Canis lupus familiaris: one gene and its partners. The protein of the gene in region 1 interacts with the protein of each later gene in a pairwise test. Links are inferred from orthologs where the notes say so. Each region holds a gene or a part of one and is shown in the gene's direction. Other genes may lie near its edges.

What was found.
Region 2: the proteins of CCDC33 (region 1) and NCK2 interact in a two-hybrid assay, tested with the Homo sapiens proteins (2 studies listed by BioGRID). The two-hybrid records come from large-scale screens. The link is inferred for Canis lupus familiaris from reciprocal best matches to the Homo sapiens genes CCDC33 and NCK2.
Region 3: the proteins of CCDC33 (region 1) and STK16 interact in a two-hybrid assay, tested with the Homo sapiens proteins (2 studies listed by BioGRID and IntAct). The two-hybrid records come from large-scale screens. The link is inferred for Canis lupus familiaris from reciprocal best matches to the Homo sapiens genes CCDC33 and STK16.
Region 4: the proteins of CCDC33 (region 1) and PIN1 interact in a two-hybrid assay, tested with the Homo sapiens proteins (2 studies listed by BioGRID). The two-hybrid records come from large-scale screens. The link is inferred for Canis lupus familiaris from reciprocal best matches to the Homo sapiens genes CCDC33 and PIN1.
Region 5: the proteins of CCDC33 (region 1) and HNRNPF interact in a two-hybrid assay, tested with the Homo sapiens proteins (3 studies listed by BioGRID). The two-hybrid records come from large-scale screens. The link is inferred for Canis lupus familiaris from reciprocal best matches to the Homo sapiens genes CCDC33 and HNRNPF.
Region 6: the proteins of CCDC33 (region 1) and PRPF31 interact in binary tests that used the Homo sapiens proteins (3 or more experiments, as listed by UniProt). The two-hybrid records come from large-scale screens. The link is inferred for Canis lupus familiaris from reciprocal best matches to the Homo sapiens genes CCDC33 and PRPF31.
Region 7: the proteins of CCDC33 (region 1) and MAGED1 interact in a two-hybrid assay, tested with the Homo sapiens proteins (2 studies listed by BioGRID and IntAct). The two-hybrid records come from large-scale screens. The link is inferred for Canis lupus familiaris from reciprocal best matches to the Homo sapiens genes CCDC33 and MAGED1.

What each region holds. Positions count from the first base shown.
Region 1 is NC_049251.1:37,848,573-37,852,209, forward strand, and holds part of CCDC33 (coiled-coil domain-containing protein 33), read left to right. Parts: intron 1-1,805; coding exon 1,806-1,922; intron 1,923-3,637.
Region 2 is NC_049231.1:38,784,194-38,788,288, reverse strand, and holds the start of NCK2 (cytoplasmic protein NCK2), read left to right. Parts: upstream 1-1,260; 5' UTR 1,261-1,370; intron 1,371-1,491; exon of another isoform or gene 1,492-1,606; intron 1,607-2,585; exon of another isoform or gene 2,586-2,652; intron 2,653-3,074; exon of another isoform or gene 3,075-3,458; intron 3,459-3,567; 5' UTR 3,568-3,705; intron 3,706-4,095. UniProt on the Homo sapiens protein: Adapter protein which associates with tyrosine-phosphorylated growth factor receptors or their cellular substrates. Maintains low levels of EIF2S1 phosphorylation by promoting its dephosphorylation by PP1.
Region 3 is NC_049258.1:25,668,236-25,672,533, forward strand, and holds the start of STK16 (serine/threonine-protein kinase 16), read left to right. Parts: upstream 1-1,371; 5' UTR 1,372-1,466; intron 1,467-1,768; 5' UTR 1,769-1,872; coding exon 1,873-1,958; intron 1,959-2,547; exon of another isoform or gene 2,548-2,562; coding exon of another isoform or gene 2,563-2,571; intron 2,572-2,766; coding exon 2,767-2,986; intron 2,987-3,250; coding exon 3,251-3,384; intron 3,385-3,558; coding exon 3,559-3,679; intron 3,680-3,806; coding exon 3,807-3,902; intron 3,903-4,298. UniProt on the Homo sapiens protein: Membrane-associated protein kinase that phosphorylates on serine and threonine residues. In vitro substrates include DRG1, ENO1 and EIF4EBP1. Also autophosphorylates. May be involved in secretory vesicle trafficking or intracellular signaling.
Region 4 is NC_049241.1:51,560,327-51,564,402, reverse strand, and holds the start of PIN1 (peptidyl-prolyl cis-trans isomerase NIMA-interacting 1), read left to right. Parts: upstream 1-1,231; 5' UTR 1,232-1,379; coding exon 1,380-1,437; intron 1,438-3,440; coding exon 3,441-3,653; intron 3,654-4,076. UniProt on the Homo sapiens protein: Peptidyl-prolyl cis/trans isomerase (PPIase) that binds to and isomerizes specific phosphorylated Ser/Thr-Pro (pSer/Thr-Pro) motifs.
Region 5 is NC_049249.1:3,821,617-3,825,896, forward strand, and holds the end of HNRNPF (heterogeneous nuclear ribonucleoprotein F), read left to right. Parts: intron 1-1,791; 5' UTR 1,792-1,842; coding exon 1,843-3,087; 3' UTR 3,088-3,711; downstream 3,712-4,280.
Region 6 is NC_049222.1:103,832,121-103,835,757, reverse strand, and holds part of PRPF31 (U4/U6 small nuclear ribonucleoprotein Prp31), read left to right. Parts: coding exon 1-50; intron 51-1,003; coding exon 1,004-1,131; intron 1,132-1,211; coding exon 1,212-1,284; intron 1,285-1,747; coding exon 1,748-1,876; intron 1,877-1,971; coding exon 1,972-2,070; intron 2,071-3,413; coding exon 3,414-3,539; 3' UTR 3,540-3,637. UniProt on the Homo sapiens protein: Involved in pre-mRNA splicing as component of the spliceosome. Required for the assembly of the U4/U5/U6 tri-snRNP complex, one of the building blocks of the spliceosome.
Region 7 is NC_049260.1:44,806,318-44,809,954, forward strand, and holds part of MAGED1 (melanoma-associated antigen D1), read left to right. Parts: intron 1-877; exon of another isoform or gene 878-1,161; intron 1,162-1,693; coding exon 1,694-1,767; intron 1,768-2,512; coding exon 2,513-3,229; intron 3,230-3,637. UniProt on the Homo sapiens protein: Involved in the apoptotic response after nerve growth factor (NGF) binding in neuronal cells. Inhibits cell cycle progression, and facilitates NGFR-mediated apoptosis. May act as a regulator of the function of DLX family members.

The sequences.
Region 1 (3,637 bases):
ATTTATGATAGGCACACAGTGAGAGAGAGAGAGGCAGAGACATAGGCAGAGGGAGAAGCAGGCTCCATGCACCGGGAGCCCGACGTGGGATTTGATCCCGGGTCTCCAGGATCAGGCCCTGGGCCAAAGGCAGGCACTAAACCACTGCGCCACCCAGGGATCCCTCCTTTTTTTTATTTTATTTTTTTGATGTGAATGATTTCCATGAGAATTGGGAATTCTCCAAATTCATCTCTGTAAAATAGCCCAATAGCATGGAATATCTTCTACATTAAATGAATACACCAGTTAAACATATTTTTCTAGGGGCGCCTAGGTGGCTCATTTGGTTAAGTATCTGCCTTAGGCTCAGGTCATGATCCCAGGGTCCTAGGATCGAGCCCCATGTTGGGCTCCCTTCTCAGCAGGGCATCTGCTTCTCCCTCCATCCCTGCTCTCACTCATGTACTCTCTCTCTCTCTCTAATAAATAAATAAAATCTTTTTTTAAAAAAAGATATTTTCTGATTTCATATGTTAAAAGTGGGAATATATCTAAAAATCAAAGAAATACAGTATTTACAGAGTACCTAGTATGTCCCAGGTCCTGAGCTAGACACCATCTCTAATCCTCAAGGTGAAGTACATTTTGCATACATAGGGCTGGAGACCCAGAGAGAGGAATCCTCTCAACATGGGTGACAGAGCAAATGAGTAGCAGAGTGGAGGGTGAGCCCGGGTCACAGTCTCCCAGGTCAGTTCTTTCTGTGCTGTCTCCACACACTGCCTTGGCAGGAGGAAGGCCCTGGAAATTTGGGACATGTGGGAGGGAAAGTGTTCCCTGGAGTGCACCCCTCTAGTAGGCAGCTGGGCATGAGCCTGAGTGAGGAGCTGCAGGTGCCTTAGTCCGCGGCCTGAGCTCCCCAGGGCAGCTCCCCCACCGACTCCCTCTCCCCAGTGCTGATTGGTGGAAGGGAGAACTCACTCTTTCAGTGCTCAAGTACTTAGTAAGTACCTACTGTGTGCTAGGCACTGGACCAGAGATGAACAGAAGCACTACTTTCCCTTCAACGTGCACTCCAGACCCCTACTGTGGTTTGGAGTAAAGAACAATGTGGTGTAGGATTGCCTGGGCTCCTATCGGGGGTCTGCCTCTTGCTAAGTATATATCCGTAGGAAGCTGCTTAACCCCCTAGGTCTGTGCTTCTCGTTGGCAAACTAGAGAGACATTGAGCATGCATTTGGTCAGTCAAATGCAACAATGGGCGTCAAGCCCCTAGCAAAGTACCTGACACATAGTGGGTGCTCACTTTGGGTTAGTTCTGTTCCTTTCTTCCCTCCCCACTTCCCATCAGGCCCTGCACCAGTCTTCTTTCCAAGCACCTCCTCAACCATGGCCTCGGGGTCTTTACCTTCCATAAGCCCCTTCCCTAAGCCTGGATGAGGTACCTGGGACAGGCAGGGACAGGAAGGCCCAGAGAGATCAGTGAGTGACTCACCTGGAAGACTCAGCACTTTAGCTGTGATTCTGCGATCATCACCCAGGCTCTCTGGCCACTTCAAAACACAGGCTTTGTTATCACACCTTCACGAAGAGAGCAGTCAGGCAGTGGTCCTTGTGAGGGTGATGAAATATTCAAATAGAAAAGGAAAGATTTATTATATTGATCTTGGAAGGGCTCGCGGGGACCATGAGCTTTAATTATCAGCTTGGAGCCCCGGTGGAGCAATGCCAAGTGATTGTCTGCAGAGGGCTGGATTTATGGCAGGGCCTGCCCCTTAGTCACTCTCCTTCTTGTGTGTCTTCTTCCCTCACCCTGTCCCCAGGCCGCCCAGTCCGGAAAAGCTGAGGAAGCCACTGCCAAGACCCACCTGTATGCGACCGTCGTTCGGAAGGGCAGCTTCTTCCCCCGCTACATCGGCAGCAACCACACAGCTCTGGAGGTTCCAAGACTGGGGTCCCGGGGGGGGGGGGAGAAGGGGAGGGGGGAAGGGGCAAGCTTTGAGCAGCCTCCAAGCCCTCCCCTTCGCCACCCCTGATTGGCCTGACTTTGTGAGGCAGAGAGGGGTATCTGGGAAAGAAACCAAGAAGGGAAAAAGCAATAGGGCTTTACAAGAATAGCCAAAATAGGGACGCCCGGGTGGCTCAGCGGTTGAGCACCTGCCTTCGGCCCAGGGTGTGACCCTGGAGTCCCAGGATCGAGTCCCAGGATCGAGTCCCAGGATCGAGTCCCGCATCGGGCTCCCTGCATGGAGCCTGCTTCTCCCTCTCCTGTGTCTCTGTGTCTCTCATGAATAAGTAAATAAGATCTTTATAAAAGGAATAACCAAAATATTTTGTGAAGAACAAGCCCTGGGATGACAGGGATAGGGATAGAGATGAAAATGAAGCCTAACCTTTCCCAGCATTTCCGGACACAGTCCTGCCCTAACGTTGCCATCTCTTGTTCTGCTTCACACACACTGTGAAGGGAGATGGAGAAGGGAGGATGGAGAAGGGGGAGCTCCCAAAGGCTTCTGTCTGCCTGAATCTCATGTGGGGGGGGAAGCCTCCACTTTGGCCCATATTCTCTTCCTGTTTTCTCTCTTGATCTAGGGCTTACCACCCTATAGCCACCTTGTATGCTAGTGTAGGTCAGCCCTGCAGGTTCCCTCTGTTCCAGTCTCCCTCCCTTTTACATTATGTCCTTTCCTGAGACCTGACAGCAACCCTCTCTCTCTCTCTCTCTCTCTCTCTCTCTCTCTCACACACACACACACACACACACACACACACACACACACACACACGAAACAAGGAAGAGTGGCCACAGCTCGACCTTGCTGTTCCCAGGCCACACCCCACAGTGAAAAGGCCATTTGCTTAAGACCCAGCAGAACCCTGGCCTGCAGGAGTCTCCACGGAGGATCCACCCCACTCCCACCCCAGCCCCCAGAATTACTGGTATAGAGTCTCTAACGCTCCACCTACCCCTTGGCCCCAGCACAGCTGTCCCCCCTTCTGGTTCTGATGGCAGACTGGAGAGCACAGTGGGAAGAGAAATTGCTTCTGTTACTTATTGGCTGTCATGAGCAAGTGGGCTTGGGCAGCTATCTCATTCACACCTGACCATTCAGCGCTGAACAGGTGTAAATTAGCCACGACCACCCACCTCTCAGAGACCTACTCTCAGCCCCTACACCTGTTGGAGTCCCTGTGAGCTCTAGGGCCTGACAGCCCTGCAGTGGACTCCCTCAGCCCAGACTCCTGGCCCCACTCAAAGTTTGAAACACCCACATCAGATCCAGTCCTTTGAATCTGGGTCAGGGATTCAGTCTCCAGGGACCCCAGTGAACCCTGAAAGGCCCTAAGCACTTAAAAAAAAAAAAGATTTTATTTATTCATAAAAGACACACAGAGAGAGGCAGAGACACAGGCAGAGGGAGAAGCAGGCTCCCTGTGGGGAAGCCCGATGTGGGATTCGATTCCAGGACCCCGGGATCACGCCCTGAGCCGAAGGAAGACGCTCAACCACTGAGCCACCCAGGTGCCTTTTCCTAAGCCCTCTTTTAAGGCCTGATCAGTTCACACGTGTGGGGAGTTGTGAGCTACCAGCTAAGATGGTCCTGGCAGAGGGGCCTAGAAGGGAGTGCGCAGGGAGGAGGAGAGAGGAGCCAGA
Region 2 (4,095 bases), on another chromosome or scaffold:
ATTTTTTTTATATGTATATGAGGATAATACTCTGTATATGTATACCTGTAACTCACACATGATACTATTATATATATTATATATAATTATTTTATACACACACAGATACACACACACACACATATAAAAGAAGTTTCATAAGTGTCATCAGTAACAATGTAAAAATTTGGATGGTGTCACTGGAAAGAGAAAAGAAGATACAAAGAGCTGTTTCAACAGCACCAGGACTCAGAATCATGAGGATTTAGACTGAGAGGGATCCCAAGGTCATCTTGCACTCTCTCCTCACTGCCTTTGGGGAGATCTTGGAGAGAGGGAAGGAAGGAAGAAATGAGATTGCAGTGAAGTTTCTCCAAGGAGCTGAGATGTCTGGTGGATTCTTGGCCAAGCCTGAGACCGTGGGAGGAGGAGCTACTTTGGGAAGAGGATAAATTTCATTCTGAACCTGGTGATATTGAAGAGATGATGAGCTGCCCAGAGAGACTGCAGACAATCTGGGGAATTCTCTAAGGCTACAGATCTGAGAGTTAATCACTGAACATCCAGACTGGAGGCATACAAAAAAATGATCAACTCTCTTAAAAAAAAACAAAAAAGGCACAAATCATTATAAAAACAAGGGGCCAAATTCTGCATCAGGAATATTACTGTTAGAGGTCAATATGCTCTCCAAGAGAATGATGTAGGAAGTTCAGAAGGGTAGCTGTGTTAGATAAATGAAAATAACTGAATTTCAGGTAATAGCAGAAATGCCACGTGCTTCTGAAGACTGCATAGGATAAAGATTAAGAAAGCGACATTGGATTTTAGATAGAGAATGTCCTTGGGGACTCTACCTTTGTAAAGGAAGGAAGAAGGAAGAGGAATTCAAGAACGGTGATTCAGTGATGGTTTACAAAGCAGACAAGTTAAAAACTGGGTCAATGTTATTATATGGATTTTGGGTAAACTAATTTAAAATTGGGTCAGACCATTTATTATAATTCTGCCTTCCTTATTAGTAAGACAAAAGGATGAACTGAGGCAGCTCTTTCCCCAAGGGCAAAGAGAAGGAGGCTATCCAGATTCCCTGATCTTGGATCCGTCCCTGCTCAGTACACTGTACCTACTCCCAGCTAGTGACCTACAGAGTGTGCCCTACAGGCAGGAAGGGTGCCAGGGACTGACATGGGAGCTAGGTAAACACGATCTCTCCATTTGTTAAATTTTAGATCGGTTAAGAAACACCTGTGCAAGGTTCCGCAGTTGAAAAAGCAGATAGTCAAAGGCTGTACTGTGACTTCAAAGGTATACTGGTTCTGGTTACCCAACCTGGATACTTCCTTTTGTGAACAAGGCAGAGGATCAATGGTTCAGCCTTGTCACCTTGGGTAAGTTATTATTGCCTTAATAGTAATGAGAAGCCAGGAGCCTAAGAAAGAATCTCATTAACATGGATCCAGGCTATTCCGCCAGGAAATCAGAATCACTTGAATAGTCGGGTTTCCTTTTGGGAAGCCGTGTGGGAAGGAGACTGGAGCACAGGCAGCTGGATGCATGTGCCTGTTAGAGGACAACTTGTGTTTCCCCTTCCTCCAGGGTTTTAATCTTCCGAATTTGTTTACAGGTAAGTCCCTGCGTGTGGCCAGGTGACCGGACCAGTCCCACTAGTAGTGACAAGGCCTGGGGGGGGGGGGGGTGCGGGGAGGGGCCCAGCCGCTGGCAGCGCCTGCCAGGTTCTGCCGGGTGGGCGCGGGGGGCTGGGCCGCAGGCGGGGCGGCGCGGGGCCGCGTGTCCTCTCTGCTCTCAAGAAGTGCTTCCGACGGGAATGATGGAGTACAAAAGTGTCTGTTTGGGAAAGTAAATAGATACAAGGCAAATAAATAAAAATGCCCAGAGGCAATTACAGAGAGGAAGTGACATTTTTATGTAAGTCACTTTTCTGATGGACCCCAGGCCTGCCTTGCCGAGGGTGCCGTGGGAATGCTTCCGGGAGGGGGCCGGCCGCCAAACAACTAGAGCGTCGCGATAAGAAAATCAAACAAAAAGAGGATGGAAAGGCCGCGCGGCAGTCACTGGGGGCTGGAAGTTGCTGCCTTTCTCTCCCCTGCCGTCCGCTCGCCGCCAGCGCTGCCCCAGTCCCCGCGCGGGCAGCCGGCAGCGGGCAGCGGGCAGCGGGCAGCCGGGACCCCCGCCCTCCCCGCGCCCCGCGCCCCCCGCGCCCCCCGCGCGCCCCGGCCGAGCCCCGGGTCCCCGCGCCGCCCGCCGCCCGCCCGCGCCGCCCCAGGTGGGAGCCGGGCCCCCGCCCCCCGCCCCCCTCGCCCGGGCCGGCCCTGGGCGGGGTCGCGCGCGGCCGGGGAGGAGCGGCGCGAGGAGGAGGAGGAGGAAGCGCGCGGAGGGGCGGGCGCAGCGCCGGGGGAGGGTCGCCGCCGCCGCCGCCGGGATCGTCAGGCCGGAGCCGCGCGGCCGAGCGGGCGGCGGGCGGCGGGAGGCGGGAGCGGCGGGAGGCTCGCGGCGGCGGCGGCGGCGGCGGGGTCCGCCCGGGCCGGCAGCGTCCGCCGCGCGGCGGGAGGAGGGAGCGGCGCAGACAAAGAGCGGCGCCTGGGCGGGCGCGGTGCGGCCGCCGCCCCGGGACCCGCGCCGCTGCCCTCCGCTCGGCGGGCGGCGCAGGAGGTAAGGCGGTGCCGGCGGGCGGGCGGGCGCGGGGCGGGGGCCGCCAAGTTGGGCCGCGCGGGGGGCGGCGCGCGCCCGGGGGCGGGGGCGGGGCGGGGGCGGGGGCCGTGCCCTGGGCGCCCCGCACCGCCCTGGGCCCCGCCGCGGCCTGCCCCCCGCTCCCGGCTGCGCACCTCCGCGCCCGCCTTCCGGGCCCCCCTGTGCGGGCCGGGCCGGGCCGGGCCGGGCGGGGGCGCGGGGGCGCGGGGGCAGGGCGGCGCTGCCGGGACCGGGGACCCGGGGCGCGCGGGGGCGGGGGCCGGGGGCGCGGGGGCGCGGGGACGAGCGGCCCCGGGAGGAAGCGCCGCGGCTCGCGGGGCCGCGGGAGGCCGCGGGAGGCCCGGAGAACTTGCTGTGCTTATGGCAACTCTCCTGACCCCGCACAAAGCTGCTGTCACGCCGCGTGGGGGAGGCCCTCGCCTGGGCGCGGGGCCGCGGGGCCCGGGGACGGTGCCAGGCTCCGCGCCGCGTCCCGCATGGGCAGGACCTCCCGCACCTGGAAGAAAGTTTCTCACGACGCTTGGCCTCCCGGTGTGTTCGGGGCGATCTAACCACCAAGTGGTTCTGGAAGAAACCGGCGTGTGGTTGGGTTTTAAGGCACTGAAGGCACCTCCCCCGTGAGCGCACCGAGTGTGGCGTTGCGTGGAGGCGTCTACTTTGCAGAAACGCCTTCGTGCGTGGACAGTAACGATCGCCTTGGAAGGTCTGCGGGGGATGCGGGGCGCGGCGGCTGGTGAACACCGGGCACCTGACTCTTCACGAGCTTTGTAAGGGCTTCAGGGACGGGGCAGGGACGGGGACAGTAGGCCTCTGTCACTTCAGACAATTGCGGTTGGCAGTTTCCCCTTTATTTGTTTTCGTTTATTTTGCCAACAGGTTTAAGGCTGAATCTGCCAACTTTGTGTCTGTATAAGGGGATGAGCAGGCCCCAGCGCTGGGCCCCCTCCTTCCGTTGAACCAAACAGAAACTGAACCACGGAGGCCAGCGGGCACGGCCTAGCCCCAGACCTGCAGGTAGGAGAGGCCCTCCCTGGTTCAGGCCCTGGCTTCTGGGAAGGGATTTGGGTAGGAATGAGAGTAATTCGGGTGTGTTTCATACCACTGCTGGTATATCGTTAGCAGCCCTGCTCTGCAAGTCTTAGAACGACTGAAAATGAAATTAACCAGGGCTACTATAACTTAATCAAAACAGATCTAAACTTTGCTTCTGAACACTCTCTTAACGCACCTACCAGGCGTTCCTGGGTGGGTGGGTGAGTGAACAGGATTCAGGCATGTGCCGCGTTTTATGAAAATAATGGTCGCCAGCGGACGCGCAGAGAAGAGATGGGCTTGACTGGCTGGGGAGGTGGGGCTGTTGATGGAGGTTTTTCGGTGTTTGGAACAGGGATTTCCCGAGAAATG
Region 3 (4,298 bases), on another chromosome or scaffold:
GGCTCCTCTATTCAGAGAGGGCGGTCCGGCTGTCACGTGGTGGATTCCTGGGAGGGAACCTCAGCGAGCAAGGGGGCGGAGACCACCTCAAGTCACCAGGCAATTAGCCTGGACTTGTCCACCCGCGCTACTCTACTAGTTTGTAAGATCCTCTACATCTTGAATCCGCTTCATCAGCATCACCTGGGAGCTTGTTAGAAATGCAGAGTCTCAGGTCCTACCTCAGACCTATTAGAATCAGAATTTGGATTTTAACAAGATTCCCAGGCGATCCGAAAGGCATTCAAGATTGAGAAGCACTGTGGTACTAAACTGAGCTCCCTGAGGGTGAAGAGTACCTTGTCCATCTTGCATCCTCAGCTTCTAGCACGGGACTCGGTACATAGCAGGTTAAATCTAGATGAATGAATGTCGGAACCAGGGGGCTAAAACAGGTTCGGAATCAATCTTCCCAGTGGTGTGAAAGTAGGAACCAAGTTATAAATGGGATTTTTTTTTTTTTCTCCTAGTGGCCCTGCTACAGCAAAAGAGACCACCTCAGCCATTCTGTCTTCTTTGGATGTCCACCGCTCTTCAATTTATCCCTGCCCTGCCTCAGCGAGAGCTGTCAAGAACAACTACCTGGGGCCAAGGCTTGGGAATTTATGAATTTCCATGACTCCTGCCTTCACAATCCCAAGCCTGGGATGTAAGGACCAGGATAAGAAAAATAGAATCATAATAAAAATAACAGCAACTTCTATTTATTGACACCAAGGCTGTGTCAGATAGTGTGCTAAGCACTTTACATCTCACTTCATCTTCAAAAAGCTCCGTGCAGTTGGTAATTATCACTCCCATTTTACCCATGAGGGAATTGAGAGGCAGAAATTTTAAATAGTCTGCTCAAGGTCACGCAGCTAGTTTAGCAGAGCTGGGAGCTGCAGCCTGGCCTCCCCGTACGGGCACCTAACCTTAGGTACTGTTAGAGCTTGTTTACAACTGGGGAAACCGAGGCTCTGAGAGGTTAAGTCGTCCAAGGTCACGCAGCTAGTAAGCTCTTAACCACTGAAACTAGGGTAGTGGGATGCAGGCCTGAGCCCCGAAGGGTGCACCGATCGGCGCTGTGGGGGTCCAGGCCGCCGGCCCCCGCCCGGCCCCCGCCCCTCGGGGCTGGACTGCAGCTTCCTACCTCCGGCATTGGGAGACGGGGGGCCTGGGGGGCCTCGGGCCGAGCCCGGCTTTGCTCCCCTTGGGCGCGGGTGCCTGCGTCCTGCCCACTACTGAAGGCCTGGTGTGGAACCCTCACCGGGTCCCGGGACCCGTGCTCCCCCGCGCCTTAGCCCGCCCCCGGCCTCTCAGCTCCGCGCCCCCACATCCTCCGGATGCCCTGCGGTTGCTAGGATACCGCGGGCCGTTACGCCGGCGCGGCCTGATGACGTAGACGCTCCTTCCGGTCCGCGGCGCTCGTCTCCGGCCGGAGCCAGGTCAGTGGGGAGTCGGGGCCGGCCCTCCCGGGGCTCTGCGCGCCGAGGCCGGGGCGGGCCCCGCCGGGTGGGCCCGGGCCTCGCCCCCACGCTCCGCGGCTGCCGAGGCGGCCCGACGGCGAGGACGCGGCCTGGGCGTCGCGGCGTGGCCCGAGGCTCCAGGGCACCCGACCTCGGCCGTGCCCGAGCCGGCGTCGCCAAGGCTCGTTTCCTCTGCGTTCCGAGGCCCGGGCGCCAGCTCTGCACGTCGGCACTTCGGGGGTCGTGCCTGGCCCACGACCCTGCCGTCCTTTGCCTTCCAGCATGATCCGCGGGGCCCCCAGCGCGTCGCCTGGAAGAGCCCCCTCAGCCCGCACGCGGCCGTCGGCAGCCCCGGACCGCCCCTGAGGAGGATGACTGAGGCGCTATGGGCCACGCGCTGTGTGTCTGCTCCCGGGGAACCGTCCTCATTGACAACAAGCGCTACCTCTTCATCCAGAAACTGGGGGAGGGGTGAGTGTTGAAATCGCCTAGCCAGCCCCCAGGGTTCTGGTGAGTGAAGGACAGCAGTCTGCACGTGATAGGGCCTCAGGAGGTTCATCCTTGTAAAGCATCCTTTAGCTCCCCTGACAGAGCCTAGCAACCCGAATGCCAAGAAAGTGGATTCTGGAGCCAGGCCTCCTGGCTCCACCTGGTGTGACCTTAAGCCGTGGTTTCATCATCTGCTTAATGGAGATAATCATCTTTTTTTTTTTTTTTTTAAGATTTTATTTATTAGAGACACACACACACGCACATGCACAGGCAGAGGGAGAAGCAGGCCCCATGCAGGGAGCCCGATGCGGGACTCGATCCTGGGTCTCCAGGGTCAGGCCCTGGGCTGAAGGCTGCGCTAAACCGCTGGGCCACCCGGGCTGCCCTGGAGATAATTATCTTTTGTCGCTGATGGAGTTGTGAGGATTAAATGAGATAGTGCATAGAAATCATCTCACCAAAAAGAGAAAAAATAATAATAATAATCTCACCCAGGGCCCGGTTCACAGCACTTGACAGATGTTGACTGTTACTTACTCATGTAACATTTCCGGAGCATTTGTCACGTGCAGAGCTGTGCATTATGACCAAGGTACCTCAAAGATTGCTGTGTTCCTACCCTTGAGCTCAAAGTGTAAAATCTTCAGACTTCTCCTGAAGCCACGTCTTGGGAGGGTTTCTGCTGACTGGGAAAGACACCCCCTCCCCTCCCCACCCAGGGAGTTCCTCTGGGTCCAAGCAGTGTGGGAGATGACCGTGGTCCTTCACTGACCCCTTTGGCCCACAGTGGGTTCAGCTATGTGGACCTAGTGGAGGGGTTACATGATGGACACTTCTACGCCCTGAAGCGGATCCTGTGTCACGAGCAGCAGGATCGGGAGGAAGCCCAACGAGAAGCAGACATGCATCGCCTCTTCCATCACCCCAACATCCTCCGCCTTGTGGCTTATTGTCTGAGGGAGCGGGGCACTAAACATGAGGCCTGGCTGCTGCTACCCTTCTTCAAGGTCAGAAAGTCTCCTGGCAATGGAGGGGCTTGCAACAGAGTCATCTACCGAGGGCTGTGTGAGTAGCCAAGCACGTTAGGAAGCAGAGACCATGTCCTGTGTTGGACCGCTTCAGATTTGGGGTTTAGGGGAACCCAAGTGGGACTGTGAGGTGTGTAGTGTGTGTGGTGAAAGAGCTGCTAGGCTGTGACACAGGGAAGGGATCAGGCTGAGGGAGCAGAGACCCAGAAAACCTGTCCAACCGTGGGGAAACTTGTGTTGCAGAGGGGTACGCTGTGGAACGAGATAGAAAGGCTGAAGGACAAAGGCAACTTCTTGACTGAAGATCAAATCCTTCAGCTGCTGCTGGGTATCTGCAGAGGCCTTGAGGCCATTCATGCCAGAGGTTATGCCCACAGGTCAGTGGGAGGGCCCAGTGTGCTTATGGGGCAGAAAGAAAGAGCCTCACCAAAAGGATTGAGTGGTCTCTGCTCTCCTCCCAAGGAACAGTCCCCATGATTCTTTTGCCCCCAGGGATTCTAGTCTCCCTATCCAGGGATGTTCATGGGCCATTTATTTCCACTTTCCTGCAGGGACCTGAAGCCCACCAATATCTTGCTTGGAGATGAGGGGCAGCCAGTTTTAATGGACTTGGGTTCCATGAATCAAGCTTGCATCCATGTGGAAGGCTCCCGCCAGGCTCTGGCCCTGCAGGTAAAAGAGTGTCCAGGTTCCTTTGCCCTCCTGTTCCCCATCCTCAGCCTTTCCTGTTGCATGCCCCAGTTTGGTCACATGACTATGACCTGTGCCTCTCTTTTGAGCTATGGGGCCACTCTTCCAGGACTGGGCAGCCCAGCGATGCACCATCTCCTACCGCGCCCCAGAGCTCTTCTCCGTGCAGAGCCACTGTGTCATTGATGAGCGGACTGATGTCTGGGTGAGGAGCATGTGGGGGGGCACATGGATGGGGAGGAGTACCGCTCTGTACCTGCTGTGCAGCAGAGGGGCAGGTCTTTGGTTTCGATTGCATGGGGCCCCAGGAACCGTGTATGTCCCCATCCCCCTCGACTTCCTTCCTGGGAACCGTCACTGACACTGTACTCAATTGCTCAGGAAGTGGTATCATTCCTCCCTTTGAACAGAATGAGTACAGCTAAGTGTCAGGACTGAAGGCAGTGGCAAGCAGGGGGTGCAGAAGCCTCCAGCTAGCTGGTGCTTTCTCTGGACCCTGGTGGTGTCATGGGGCTGAGGTCAGCCTATTCTTATTAGCTTATGTAGTCACCTTTCACTACAGAGTCCAGAGGAAAGAGATCATTTCTATTGGTCCCTTGTC
Region 4 (4,076 bases), on another chromosome or scaffold:
TACAGATTAACTCAATTTTTGCATCAAAGGTATGTATGAGATATATATATTTCTTATTCTCATTTGCAGATGGAGAAGCTGAAAAGCTGAAACACAGAGATTAGTTTCTTCAAAGTCATAGCCAGGCTTTGAACACAAGCGATCTGGCTCTTGAATGCTCTTAACCTACTATATCCTATTTCTTGTAGACATGTTTTCCCATGTTTTATATGACTGTGCCTCATTTTTTTTTTTTTAAGATTTTATTTATTCACGAGAGACACACACAGAGAGAGGCAGAGACAGGAAGAGGGAGAAGCAGGCTCCATGCATGGAGCCCGATGTGGTACTCGATTCCGGGACTCCAGGATCACGCCCTGAGCTGAAGGCAGGTGCTACGCCACTGAGCCACCCAGGGATCCCCGCCTCATTCTTTTTCAATGGTCACATAGGGGTCTAGTTCTAGATGAACTATCATTGAACTCTTCCTTGTTGGTGTCTTTGCCTCTCGTATCTATCTCCAGCCTGTCCCCAGGCACCTCCCCAGAGTCCCACAGGTGCCGCAGACTCAATTTTAAGACGATTCAAACTGAGCTCATCATCCTCCTACAGACGCATCCTCCTGTGTCGCCAGCTAAGTGGCCATGCCAACACCCACCAGTCACCCAGGACAGAGGCAGGAGCCAGACCGAGAGAATAAGTTAAGTAGGTTCCAAAGGAAGTAGAAGATGTTTGGTCAGTGGCACAGGGAAAGGGTTAGTCTCGCAAAAGAAAAAAAAAAAGTGGGGGGACAGCTTTGGACATCTGGAGGAAACAGGTGGGGAGAAGGAGGATGGAGGAGCCAAATTTAGGCTTCTTCGCTGCTCATCACCAAGGCAACTGCGTTGCTACGGCAACAGCTAAGGCAGCACCGCCTCTTTCAAGTACCTCGTGGGCTGCCGTCACCTCGAAACCACCCGGACACTTCCGCATAAGGGGGCGCGGGCCTCCGGGAACGGCTGAGGAAGGCGGGAACTACTGCCGCAGTAGCCAATCGGATGGGGCCTGCGGCGAAGGACGCAAAGGAGGTGCCCGGACTTCTGTGAAGCTCGCCGGAGGCTGTGGAGAAGGACGGGCTCCAGCCCCTTCCCTACCAGTCAGCGGCCGAGGGAGGAAGGGGGCGGGATCCGGGGGAGGCCGTACGGGGGCGGGACCCGGTAGAACGCACGGAGGGTCCGCCCAGTCTCGCCGCTACCCAATAGAAAGCCCGAAGGCCTCTCCGGACTGCTCGGGCGCCCAATGAGCATCGTCGCCGGGCCCCGGGGCGAGGCGGGCCGAGCCAATCGGCGGCGGCGGTGGGCGGGTGCGGGCGGCATAGGCGGTGCGGCGGAGGCGGAGCGGGCGCTGCGGCAGGAGGGAAGATGGCGGACGAGGAGAAGCTGCCGCCCGGCTGGGAGAAGCGCATGAGCCGCAGCTCAGGTGCCGCGGGGGTCGGGGCTGGGGCGGGGCCGCGCGGGCCCGCGGAAGCAGGGCTCGAGCTCGCCCCTGGGGCGCGGCGCCGCCGCCCGATTCCCGTGGGGTCTTGGCTCCTCCGCGTCTTCCCAGGGTAACGGCCCGGGCCCGCCCCGTGGGGGCTGCGAACCTCAGGAGCGGGGATGCCGGAGGAAACTGAGGCAAGGGGCGGGGCCGGAGAGACCCAGCGCGCTGCCGGGGGTGGGGGGGGCGGGGGCGGGGGGCCGGGGATCCCGCAGCACTCCCCCAGGTGATGGCCCTGGCCCTGCCGATCCGGCTGACACCTTTTGGCCTATTGCACCCGACGTCCCCGGGGACCGTGTCTGCACCCTGCTGGGCCCGGGGGGCACCCCGGGGAAGGACACCCCAACCCCACGCTCAGGGCGTGGCCTCAGAGCGTTGCCGGGCCTCGGGCCCACAACCTGCCCCTGCTAACCCGCCGGCCATCCCCGCCTAACCCGAGTCTGTCGTCGCCGCCCGGTGGATGGACCCTGTGCCGGGAGCCCGATCTGAGGCTTATCCACAGTAATAATACCCGTAACCGCACGCTCATCTTACCGCCCAGCCCTGTGCCAAGTGTGTTTGGAGTGTGTTCTCCCTCTCTCTCTCTGAATGACCACAACTCTGGGAGGTGGATAGTTATCACCCCGTTTTGCAGGTGAGGAAGCAGAAGTCAGAAAACTTAAGGAGCTCCCCCAAGGTCATTCATTTCAGGGGGTGGGGGCTGGATTAGAGTCCGGTCAGTCTGACAGCAGAGCCCGCCTGCCCTTGTCACTGCAGACCAGTGAGGAGCAGGCCCAGCATCTCACCGCACTGCCTCCCCAGCCCATAAAAATCACAGTCACAGTGATATCTGCTCATTGAAGGCCAGGCCCTCTGGTGAGCACTTTGCACGGATCATCACTGTTCTCCACATTAGCCCCGTGAAGTTATGTCCTTAATCTCTCGCTTCACCCCCACTTTTCAGATGAGAAAACCAAGGTTCATGGAGAGAGAGGCCATTGCAAGGTTTTAGGGTCGGTCACTGGCTCAGCTCTCACTGAGCCCGCTCCAGCCCTGCTCCGTGGCCACAGCTGACAGCATGAATCCTGATGCTCTGCCCTGTTCTGGGCCCCCTCTCTGGCCATTTCTGCTCGGCTCCACCCTAATGGTCTTCCTCAGGGGTGACCTTCAGTTCTTCACGGTGCTGGGTGCCAGTCGTGCAAAAATCTCAGCCCCTGGAATGATGCCTGGGCTCTCCTGGGTTCTACCTCAATCTTCTCTCTTGTGGCCTTCCCTCCTTCCTGCTCCTTGGGCCCTGGGTAACGTTTGACCCCCCTGTACTGCTGGTCCATAGTTGTGCAGCGCTGTACACTGGGTGCGGGTTAAGAACAGAGCTTTCATGTTTGGCAACCTGGGTTTAATTCCTGCCTCCAGCCATGTGTGCCTGGGGCCAAGTGTACACTCAGGAAACATTCCAAAGGTGTGGAAGGTGAGGCCTCACTTCTGTCGTCTACAGGGAGATGATAGCTGTCACGCTCCTAATGTGTACTGGGCACTAGTCTAAGTGTGTTACCGCTGTGAGCTCACTCAGTCCTTAGCACAACCCTACAGGCAGGGACTGTTGTTATCTGCATTTTACAGGTGACAAAATCAAGGCCCAGAGAGGTTAGCTCACACAGTGAGTGACAGCCAGACTTGAACAGGCAGCCTGGCTGCCTGTCCCCACACCGGCTTCGTCTCTCCTGTCACTCTGGGTGGTTTTCCTCCTTGAAGTCACTAATAACTGAAGTTATGACATTGTCTTATTTGCTTGTCTGGGGCCTGCCCATCCCCATCTAGAATGCTGGCTCCCTCGGGGCCTGTAGCTCGAGGTGGACTCAGGGGATTTGTTGAATGAAGGAATCCCATTGGCCGGTCCGTCATCTTGGCCTCCGGGTGGTGTCCTTTGAGCAGGTCCCAGCTGAATTCCTGTATCCCCCCTCCTCCAGGCCGGGTATACTACTTCAATCACATTACTAATGCCAGCCAGTGGGAGCGGCCGAGTGGCAACAGCAGCAGTGGCAGCAAAAATGGACAAGGGGAGCCCACCAGGGTCCGCTGCTCGCACCTGCTTGTCAAGCACAGCCAGTCCCGGCGGCCCTCATCCTGGCGACAGGAGAAGATCACCAGGACCAAGGAGGAGGCCCTGGAGCTGATTAATGGTGAGCAGAGTTGGAAGCAGGTTGGAGTGGGGGGAATGTGGGGAGAGGTTGTCCCCTCATTGGGAGCTGGAGCCAGCCTCGTAGAAATCACACCAGGCCCTGCACCCCAGCTAACTCAGCTGTCAGCATTGGCTGCCACCGAACTGCCTGTACGTGACGTGAGCCTGGACTGCACAGCTGCCTCTCCTTTTTCTTTCTATTTGGCATTTGAGGGTGAGCCAGGTTACGAGAGGAGGACCCAGCCTTGGGGGCTGGCAGCCCTGGGTTCAGATGGTGGCTATGCCCTGTAAGCTCCAGGGGGAGCTTGTGTCATCTTGAGACTCAGTTTTCCCCTCTGTAAAATGGGTGTTGTCACATACCTGCCCATACCTGGTGTGTAGGTGCCAAGAAAACTATGAAATCAGCAGCATTTAGCTCACTAGG
Region 5 (4,280 bases), on another chromosome or scaffold:
CCTGAGGCTGGGTACTTGAGTGTCCTGGGCCCAGACCTAGTTGACCGTGGAGGGAGATCACTTAAGGCTGCCTAGAAAAGAATTCACCCAAGCTCAGTGATTCCCAGCAGTTGAATGTGGAGGAAGGACTCAAAGGAAACAGCTAGGAGAACCAATCAAAATTAATAGGAAAACCAGAAGGTTGCATCTTCTTTAAGAGGGAGAAAGGATTTCCAGGGGGAGTGGTTAAATTCTGCTGTGGGAACAAGTAAAATGGTATATAATGGCATTAGTTCCGAATGGACATTCTTAATTACTAAGAAGGTGGTCTTCAGTGAAAAGACTGAAGAGAAGTTTCTCTTGGCACCTGGATAGCTTGGTTATTTAAGTGTCCAACTCTTGATCTCAGCTCAGGTCTTGATCATGCAGGGTTGTGAGCTCAAGCCCCACGTTAGGCTTCACGCTAGGTGTGGAGCCTTAAAAGTTTTTTCTAGGGTGAGTGGAGTTGGGACCAGAGCAGGATTGTGATCCTGCTAATGATATCAGCTAACAAGAGAAGCAACTGCTTGTTTATAAATTCCTAGACTTTGTGGCATGTGGCAGTTCCTTCACGTAGTCGCTGTTCTTTGAATCAGCTGCAGATGGGGGGAATGAGAAAAGGTGAGGTTGCCACAGACAGCTCAGGGCTTTGGGCAAGTGTGTGTGTGTGTGTGTGTGTGTGTGTGTGTGTGTGTGTGGTAGAACTGTAGGCAGTATTGAGGGCCCACTTTAAGGTTGGTGATCCTGATTCTACAGTAGTCATTCTCAGCTGGGAGTAGGTTTTACCCTCAGGGAACATTTGGAAATATCTGGAAATCTGTGGGGTTGTCACACCTGGGGGGAGGGTATTGCTACTGGCAGCTTGTAGGCAGAGGCAAGGGATGTTGCCTTCCAGCCTATAGTGCACAGGCCTATTCCCTACAACAAAGAACTGTCTGGTCCACAATGTGAACCATTTGGCCTGGCTATGTGACACTGAGCTACCTGGTACAGCCAGGAAATAGATAACTTAAACTTCCTGAGCTGTTTTACTTCACACGTACAAAAGAGGAGGAAGAGCATATGAAATCTGTTATAGGGGGATGGGGCCAAAGTCATTACAAAATCATCCTTTTGCACGTTGGCAGTTTTAAAAAAAATGATTAAGTGCTGCATAGTGACTTCATCAAATACTGAAATTACTGTAATTTATTAAAATTATGAGCCAAGGGACACCTGGGTGGCTCAGTCAGTTAAACATCTGCCTTGAGCTCAGGTTGTGATCCCAGAGCCCTGGGATTGATAACCAATATCAGTCTCCTGGTCAGCGTGGAGCCTGCTGCTCCATCTGCCATTCCCCTGCTTATATTATTACAAATTTGCTCTGTCTTTTCTCTAGTAACAAGAAAATACCCTTTTACTTGAGTGTCATAATCTCACTTTCCTCCAGTTCTGAGAAGTTCTCTATTTCTAAATATTGGCTTATTTCATTCTTTTGTCTTCCCTTTAGAACTTAAAATAACTGACCATTAGAATTGATAGGCTGTGGCTTACTGACAGAGGCTTCTAGATCACTATTGTATTTTTTTTTTTTTTTTTTAGATTCCTAATTCTTTTTCAGTCTGTAATATGTACATTTTAGGGGAGACCTGGGATTGAATCTGAGTTCAAATGTATTGGGTGTATTTCTTAACATTTTATTTTTTCATCTGTAAAATCAGAAAAATAAGATTTACTGCATATTCTTGTACATAATAAATGAAAAATTATGTAAAGTTTTTGCTTTCTTTTCAGCCACAAAAAACTGCACCCAAGCTTGTTTGACGTCTGTCCTCTCAAGTGTCCATGATGCTGGGCCCCGAGGGAGGTGAAGGCTTTGTGGTCAAGCTCCGTGGCCTGCCCTGGTCCTGCTCTGTTGAGGATGTGCAGAATTTCCTTTCTGACTGCACAATTCATGATGGGGCTGCAGGCGTTCATTTCATCTACACTAGAGAAGGCAGGCAGAGTGGTGAGGCTTTTGTTGAACTTGAATCAGAAGATGATGTAAAAATGGCCCTTAAAAAAGACAGGGAAAGCATGGGACACCGGTACATTGAGGTGTTCAAGTCCCACAGAACCGAGATGGATTGGGTGTTGAAGCACAGTGGTCCAAACAGTGCCGACACCGCCAATGATGGCTTCGTGCGGCTTCGAGGACTCCCATTTGGATGCACCAAGGAAGAAATCGTTCAGTTCTTCTCAGGGTTGGAAATTGTGCCAAACGGGATCACACTGCCTGTGGACCCCGAGGGCAAGATTACAGGGGAAGCCTTTGTGCAGTTTGCCTCCCAGGAGTTAGCTGAGAAGGCCCTCGGGAAGCACAAGGAGAGAATAGGGCACAGATATATTGAAGTGTTTAAGAGCAGTCAGGAAGAAGTTAGGTCATACTCAGATCCTCCTCTGAAGTTCATGTCTGTACAGCGGCCGGGGCCCTATGACCGCCCTGGCACAGCCAGGAGGTATATTGGCATTGTCAAGCAAGCAGGCCTGGAGAGGATGAGGTCTGGTGCTTATAGTGCAGGCTATGGGGGCTATGAGGAGTACAGTGGCCTCAGCGATGGCTACGGCTTCACCACTGATCTGTTCGGGAGAGACCTCAGCTACTGTCTCTCGGGCATGTATGACCACAGATATGGAGATGGCGAGTTCACCGTCCAGAGCACCACTGGACACTGTGTCCACATGAGAGGGCTGCCGTACAAAGCTACCGAGAACGACATTTACAACTTCTTCTCTCCACTCAACCCTGTGAGAGTCCATATTGAGATTGGCCCTGATGGAAGAGTGACGGGTGAAGCTGATGTTGAGTTTGCCACTCACGAAGAAGCTGTGGCAGCTATGTCCAAAGACCGGGCCAACATGCAACACAGATACATAGAACTTTTCCTGAATTCCACAACTGGGGCCAGCAATGGGGCATATAGCAGCCAGATGATGCAAGGCATGGGAGTGTCAGCCCAGTCGACTTACAGTGGCCTCGAGAGCCAGTCTGTGAGTGGCTGTTACGGGGCTGGCTATGGAGGCCAGAACAGCATGGGTGGATATGACTAGTTTTGTAGGAGCATTTGAGTTATTGCAATCAAATTTTCACAGGCAGCCAACAAGCAGTGAAAAGCAATTATTACTCTAGAGGAAGCTGTGGGACCCATTTTGCACCATGAGTTTGTGAAATCTGGATTAAAAAATTACCTCTTCAGTGTTTTCTCATGCAAACTTTCTTCTAGCATGTGATATTGAGTAAACTAAAACTATTTTCAGCTTTTCTCAATTAACATTTTGGGTAGTGTACTTCAGAGTGATGTTATCTGAGTTAAAGTAGTTTTAAGTACATTAAATGGATCTTTTACACCACATCACCGTGAACACATTGGGGAGACGTGCTTTTTTGGAAAACTCAAGGTGCTAGATCCCTGATTCAAAGAGGAACATTTCTCCTGTTTGTTCATTCTAGTTTATTTTCATTTAAAATCTTTTTAGGTTAAGTTTAAGCTTTTAAAAAATAAGTTAGTTTTGAAAATTGAGACACATTACTAATACTGTAGGAATTGGTGAGGCCTTGACTTAAAACTTTCTTTGTACTGTGATTTCCTTTTGGGTGTATTTTGCTAAGTGAAACTTGTTAAATTTTTTTGTTAACTAAATTTTTTTCTTAAAATAAAGATTTTTTCACAATGACTGGCACCGACTATATACTCACCAAAAAGCAAAATGGGTGGTTGAAGAGAATTTGTTTTAATACTGCTGTATTTCAGTGTGAATTTCAAAACTAATTTAGCACATGGAATCTAAGATTTCCCTTATTCCTATACCAAGGCTAAATTAAAAGTTTGATTTTTAAAAATGTTAAACATGAGCGGTAGAAATGGTGACTGGAAACACGGGAGTATGAAAATAGAAGCAGCACGCAGGCCTAGCCTCCTTTGAGACTGGACTGCTCAGCTGTAATGTCCCGCTCTTCTCTTATACTGGAGTCACATTCATTTCTCATAGCTAAAGACCCTTAATTTTGGGTGCCACATACTTTGGCAGTCTTTTAATCACAACCACATTTTGTTTCAGGGTGGTTTTTTTTTTTTTTTATATGAAGTTACTGATTTGAACATTTTTTTTCCATGCTAGCTCTAATAATCCTGGGTTAGAAATCACAGGTTATTACTGAATACACATAAATCTTGGGACAGACCTGTTTCCAAATTAGAAAGTCATCCTCTACCTAGCAAGAGAAAACAGTGTCCAAATTCCAG
Region 6 (3,637 bases), on another chromosome or scaffold:
GCACACTGGCAGCCCGTGTGGACAGCTTCCACGAGAGCACAGAAGGGAAGGTGAGGCACAGCAGGCATCTGTGTGGGTCTGTCTCCTCTACCAGACTTGTCATTGTTCAGGTCATCACTGAGTTTACCTCTATCTCTCTTGGCAGACTTGCTCCATGAAAGTGGGTATATCTTGTCTTGTGCAGTCTGGCACAGTGTCCAGGCTTCAGTCTCTTTCTCTCACTGCCCCCCACTTTTCCTCTTGACCACTGGTTGAGGTTCCAGTGGGGACAGCAGTGAGCACTCCGACCAAAGCCATGCCCCTGTGGCATTCATGTTCTGGCTGGGGGCGGGGTGAGGACACGGGCCATCTGTGGTGTGTCCAGGGATGCCACATAAATGCTAGGGTGGGATCAAAGGGTGCTGGGCTGGTGAGGGAGGTTGAGTTTAACCCGGACGTTGGGGAGGGCTTTGCTGCAAAGGTGAAGGTCTAATCTGCACCCAAGTGAAGTTGGTGCAAGTGAAGCAAGTTGGTGAAGTGAAGCAAGTCAAGTGAGTGCCTGGGGGAAGAGTCCTAGGAAGGAGAAGCAGCCAGTGCAATGGCCCTGAGCCTGGCCCACAGGAAGCCAGGGAGAGGAGGCTGTGGGATGGGACAGGTCACGCAGAGCCTGTGTGCCCCAGAGAGACCTTGGCTGTAGCAGAGATGCTGAGGGGTGCGATTTGGGGTCTTAACTGAAGGAAAAGCCCAGAGGGAGAGAAGCCAGAGGTGAGGCTCCCAAGTGACCTCCCTTTACCAACTTGTGCAGGCCGGAGCTGGAGGCTGGGGAAGAGGTGCAGGTGTGCGGTTTGGCCCTGTTGCACTCGGGGGCTGCCCTCCTTCTCCCCCATCAAGGACAGAATTATATGAGGGGTGCTGGGAGAAGTCTGAGTCTCCCAAGAAACACAGGCCCCCCAGGCCTGGGAACAGGTGCCACACACAGGTAGAGGGATGGGCAAGGCTCAATGGGACCCCCTGCCCTCCCCAGGTGGGATATGAGCTGAAGGATGAAATCGAGCGCAAGTTTGACAAATGGCAGGAGCCGCCGCCCGTGAAGCAGGTGAAGCCCCTGCCTGCACCCCTGGACGGGCAGCGCAAGAAGCGAGGTGGCCGCAGGTAGGCCCTGAGGGCCAGTGGGGGTGAAGAGGAGGGGAAGGGGCTTGTGACCCCAGCTGACCCCTGGCGCCCCTCCCCAGGTACCGCAAGATGAAGGAGCGGCTAGGGCTGACCGAGATCCGGAAGCAGGCCAACCGCATGAGCTTCGGAGAGGTCAAAGCCTTAGTCTGGATGTCCCCACCACATTTCTTCTCGGCTGAGGCAGCACCTCACCTCCAGCCTCCCCCCACATCCATGTACCCTGAAGGGACCTATGCAGCATTCAGTGTTGGCCCTGTCCCCCGACCCCCACCCTTTTGTACACACCTCCCTGTCGGGTTGGATCTGCCCAGGGAGGGTCCTTCCTCAGGCTTCACCTCTGCCAGACTCATTACCCAAGCATCATCCTCATGGTCCTGCAAGAACCAGCTCAAACACCCTCTAGTCAGCAAGCCCAGTTTTGGTTGTTGACACTGCATACATGAACACTCACAGCTTCCCTCAACTGTCAGCTCAGGGAGCCGTAATAGGACTGGACTCCTCACTGGGCCCCAGCAGGCACCTGAATCGGGTCAGTGCCTGGGGCATCCGGCTGATGAAAGATGGCTAACTCTTGGTTACCTTCCCCTCCCACCAGATCGAGGAAGACGCCTACCAAGAGGACCTGGGCTTCAGCCTGGGCCATCTGGGCAAATCAGGCAGCGGGCGGGTACGGCAGACACAGGTGAACGAGGCCACCAAAGCCAGGATCTCTAAGACACTGCAGGTACAGGCGGGGCCTGAGTGGGCCTGGGAGTCTGGGAGCTCCAGCAGGAGAGCCCAAGCCAAGCCCAAACATCCTGTCCCCTCCCCTCCACACAGCGGACCCTGCAGAAGCAGAGTGTCGTGTATGGCGGGAAGTCCACCATCCGTGACCGCTCCTCGGGGACTGCTTCCAGTGTGGCTTTCACCCCTTTGCAGGTACTGTGCACCTGAGTCAGGAGGCCCAGTTCTGGGCAGGCTCTACTCCCAGCTTTCTGAGTGGACCTGGGCAAGCCCCTTCCTCTCGCAGGGCTGTTGTGGACAGCCTTGTGTATCAGTGAAGCCCCTGAAAGGTACAGCTCAGTTCCTGGTGCTCAGGCTAGTGGGAGCAGAAGGGAAAAGGTCTGCCTGCAAGTGCAGGCTGGCTTTAGGATCGGGCTGGGACTAGGGGTGACTACTGATTCCCCATGACCTCAAGTGGGCTCAGCTCCTCCCTGAGGTGCTAAGTGGCTGGGACAACCTCAGGGCTCCACGGAAGAAAACTCAAAGGTAGCTGGCTGGGAAGCAGAGGTCCCAGCCCAGCCACTCATGCACAGGACAGAGCCTCTGCATCTGTCCATTTCTCAGCCTACCCACAGATAGCGCCAGCACGCCCCATAGCATCGAGTAGAATAACTGAGTTCATTGGCAACATCAGCAAGGGTGTACTGAGCACCTAAGTTTCAGGTGCTGTTGCAGGCACTGGGGATAGAGCCACAAGCACAAGACAGCAAGCCTTGCCCTCAGGGAGCTTGTGGGGTGGCAGGGGTCAGATAAGATATGGAGCCTGGTGGAAAGTGGAAAGTGCAGGGAAGAAAGGGGAGAGGGAGTGAGGCATCGGGTTGGACCCGCCCAGGGAGGCCTCAGCAAGAAGGTCAGAATTACCTGTGGAAGATACTGGGAATGGTGCCAGCCAGTGTGGAGCCCCCACAGCTGGACGCCGTGTCACCAGTAGGCTTGGTGTAATTTGCACGAGGGCCAGAGGTGAGCCACTTAGCTCTGTGACTCAGTTTCCTTATTCAGGAACCAAACCCGGTCAGCTGTTCTGAAACATTGATTTTTTTTTTTTAAGATTTTTATTTATTTATTTATTCATGAGAGACATACAGAGAGAGAGAGACAGAGACACAGGCAGAGGGAGAAGCAGGCTCCATGCAGGAGGCCTGATGTGGGACCCCATCCCGGGTCTCCAGGATCATCAGGCCCTGGGCTGAAGGCGGCGCTAAACTGCTGAGCCACCTGGGCTGCCCAACATTGATGCTTTTAAAATTGCTTAGAGAACTTGATAAAAATTCAGATGCCCAGGTCCTCCCCACTCTTCCCTCTTCCCAGAGCCACAGTTAGAATCTCCCCAGGTTTGGGGTGGGGGCAATTTGGTAATTGGAAAACTGTTCTATCACCTGGAGCCCGGAACCATTGAAAAGGGCCTCCCCGACATGTCACAATTCTCTTACTGGGTAAGGGGGCCTTGTCAGGGGCCAGCCCATCTCCCCACCCCATCATTACCTCATTCACCTGCCCAGGGCCTAGAGATTGTGAACCCACAAGCAGCTGAGAAGAAGGTGGCTGAAGCCAACCAGAAGTATTTCTCCAGCATGGCCGAGTTCCTCAAGGTCAAGGGCGAGAAAAGCGGCATCATGTCCACCTGAGGGGCTGTACCCTGGGTGGCTGCCCCTGAAGCTACACAGGCCCTGCCCTTCTGAAGGGATCAGGATCAGGATAGGGCTGGGAGGTTCTGTCCTCAGCC
Region 7 (3,637 bases), on another chromosome or scaffold:
TGGGTACACCTAAATGCAGAGCATGAGCTTAGGTCTTGGAGAACACAAACCTTGCTTGTTTGGGACAGGTGTTGACAGTGCAGGGGAGGTGTATGTGTGGGAACTGTCGCTCAAACTGGAGAGGAGAGGGTGCCTCAGTTCCCAGGCCAGCACTAGTGGAACATAGGTTTTGGAGTCAAGAAGACTCCAAGGCCCACATTTTGCATTTGCTCTTTACTGGCTCTGTGGCCTTGTCTGGTTCATGCAGTGTGTCTGTGCTTTGGCTTCCTGACCTGTAAAATGGGGATGCTGACATCCACCTCCCAGGGCTGCTGTGAGAGACAAGTCCCAGCACAGATTGCGCTGTGGTGGTCAAGCTGTTCCCTTCCCTCCCTTCCTCACCTGCGCAAAAAATATGCGCATGGCTGGAGCTGCACAAAGGGCACGAAAGAAGCTAATGTTTATGACCCTGGGATCTGTTGAGAGAGATCATACAGATTCATGTGGCAGGTGCACACTTTTTCTACCTCTTACAACGTATTCTCTCTGGCCATTCCTTCTCCTGGGTCCCAAAGTCGGAGAGCTTAGCGGGAGCCTAGCACTTGTTGCAGTTAGAGACCCCACACGGACACCTCCTTATTAATGACCTAAGTGTTGCTAAGCGGGGGGTGGAGATTCTTGCCGAACGAAAGGACAGGACTGGAGGGGCCGCTAGAGGGGAGGGATAGAACTGAGACGCATTGCGGAAAAGGTAGGGGGCCAGTGTGTGGGCAAGGGGTGGGACCTAAAGGCACAGCGCATCTGTTTGGGGGAGGGGATGTTGTGGAGGGGGGTGGGGCCGTGGTGTACTGTCGACCTGGTTGGTAGTGGGGTGGTGTGTTGGCAAAGGGGCGGGATTGCCTCCCACTGCACATGCGCACCATGGCGTTAAGGACGAAGCTTTTGTTGGGAAAGCGGGCGGGACTTTTATTTGGTCGGTCAGTTCTTGCGCATGCGCACAACTATCTGAGGCGGTGGGTGGTATATTAGGCGGAGAGGCGGGGTCGTCCTAGCTGCCGCGCTGGCATTTTCTCCTGGACAAGGAGAGGGTGCGGCTGCGGAGAGCCGAACACTGCAATCCCGATCCTCTGAGTCGTGAAGAAGGGAGGCAACGAGGGGGTTGGGGTTGGGGCCTGAGGCAAGGTGAGAATTAGCCCCCAGACAGGGCATCTGCCCCCTGGTGCGGGCCACCCATTTTTCATTTCAATCCCTTTACCCCGGATTCTGATTCCCCTTCCACTCCCCTAATCCCCATTCACACCCTTCACCCGATCCTCCCTTACTCAGAACCCCTGTTCATCCTCCGAACCCCTCCCATCGTTAAAAATCTCCACAGATTTCTCGAGCTTAATCTGTACTGTCATACGATTCCTCCTGATTGGAAACCTCCATTCAATTTACCATATGCGCGTCCCAACCCATTCCCCCTAGATTCAGAACTGTTGTTGGCTTTCCGAATCCCGATTTGAAGCTTCTCCCGGGTCAGTAGCTTCTCAGGATTCAGAGCCTCCATCCTGACATCCATTCACTTTTCCCACTCTGATCCAACCGGTTCCCCTCACATTCAGCGCCTCGTTCGCCCCCACAGTCAAATCCCAGACACCCCCCCCCCCCATTCAGTCCTTCGCATTTGCCCTTTGGAGTATAACGCCCAGCTCCTCCTACCCCCACCCAGGCTCTGCTCTTGCCAGAGGGACTGGAGCCATGGCTCAGAAAATGGACTGTGGTGCGGGCCTCCTCGGCTTCCAGGTGAGATATTCACTCCCCACCCCACTATTTACCTAGCCGATAGTTCCCTGGGGCCCCTTTGGCCGCCCAAAACCCTCGATCTGATTTTGCCCTCTTCATGCCTAGACTCCATCGCTTTTCAAATTCCCATGGTTTATCGGGGGGGAGGGGCGTCCCCTTTCAGCCATCAATCCCTGCTTAGAGAAAGGGGAGACCCTGTTAATAGTGAGGGCAGTCTATCCAGAGAATGCGGGTTGGGTAAGGAACCATTTTTTTCCTCAGTCCTGACGCTTGTAGAGAGAGCAGTCTGCCACCCCCTCCCCCAACCTCCGGCCGCCACCCTCTCTTCTGCATTCCCCACCGCTGAGACCCCCCCCCCCTTATTCTCCTCAACTCCTCGAGGCGGCACCCTTGCTCTGGCTCCCCTCGCGTCCGCCCTTAGCTTCTGCCGCACACCGCATTGCTCTGCTCTAACCTCCTCCATCAACCCCCACCGCTCCCTTCATTCTACTTCTTCCCCACTATTCATTCCGCCCCACCCCTCACTTAGTCCCTGCCCCACTCCAGCCCTACCACACGTTTTGTTACCACTCTGCCTCCCATCGCCCCTTGCTGGTGGTCTAGATCTGTGCCTCAGCCTTTTTGCACCATCCGCCTGCCTGTACCTTCCCAGCACTGCTCCCCCTACCCTCCTGCTTCTACTTCGGAGGCCCAGAAATTTCATTCCCACCCCCCATCCCCCCCCCCCCCCCCGCTGTATTTGCAGGCTGAGGCCTCCGTAGAAGACAGCACCTTGCTTATGCAGACCCTGATGGAGGCCATCCAGATCTCAGAGGCTCCACCTACCAACCAGGCCACAGCAGCTGGGCTGAATGCTAGTGCCCAGAGTTCACAGCCCCCAACATCCAGTGAGATGGCTGATATTCAGGTTTTGGCAGCTGCCACTAGGCCCAAAACAGCCTTTAAGGCTCAGAATGCCACCACAAAAGGCCCAAATGGTGCCTATGATTTCTCTCAGGCTCTTAATGCCAAGGAGATGCCCAATGTACCACCTAAGGCAGCCTTTAAGTCCCAGAATGCCACCCTAAAGGGCCCAAATGCTGCCTATGATTTTTCCCAGGCAGCAACCACCAGTGAATTAACTGCTAACAAGTCCGAGATGGCCTTTAAGGCCCAGAATGCCACTACTAAGGTGGGCCCAAATGCCACCTACAATTTCTCTCAGTCTCTCAGTGCCACTGAGATGGTTAATGCTCAACCTAAGACAGCCTTTAAGGCTTGGAATGACACCACTAAGGCCCCAACAGTTGATACCCAGACCCAGAATATTAACCAAGCCAAGATGGCCACTTCCCAGACTGAGGTAGAGACCAACCCAGGTATCCCTGAATCTGATGGTGCAGCTGCACAGACATCAGCAGATGGTTCCCCTGCTCAGAATCTGGAGTCCAGGACTATAATTCGGGGCAAGAGGACCCGCAAGGTGAGATCCCTGCTAGCTTCATTTTGCTTTGGGCTCTCTCCTTTCTTCTCTGAGTTTCATTTGTTCTCCACAAAACAAAGCATACATATGTAATGGCCTGTGTTGAGTTAGGTTGTAGGGGATAATAAGGTGAATGTCATAATTTCTGCCCTCTGAATATCCAGACTAATGGGGAGATGAGACATGGACAGGTAATATGTACACTATGTAATTCAGTTTACATTTTCATAATAGCCACCATGTGTTAGGTCTTGAGCTAGGCATATTCACACAGGTTACCTCATTAAATCTTCAAGGTATTACTAGCTAAGGATAATAGTCCCAGTTTTACAGAGAAGGAAACTCAGTCCCAGAGAGGTGAGTGACTTGAGTGATTTGTCCAGGGTGGTACAAGCAGAGCCAGTGTTG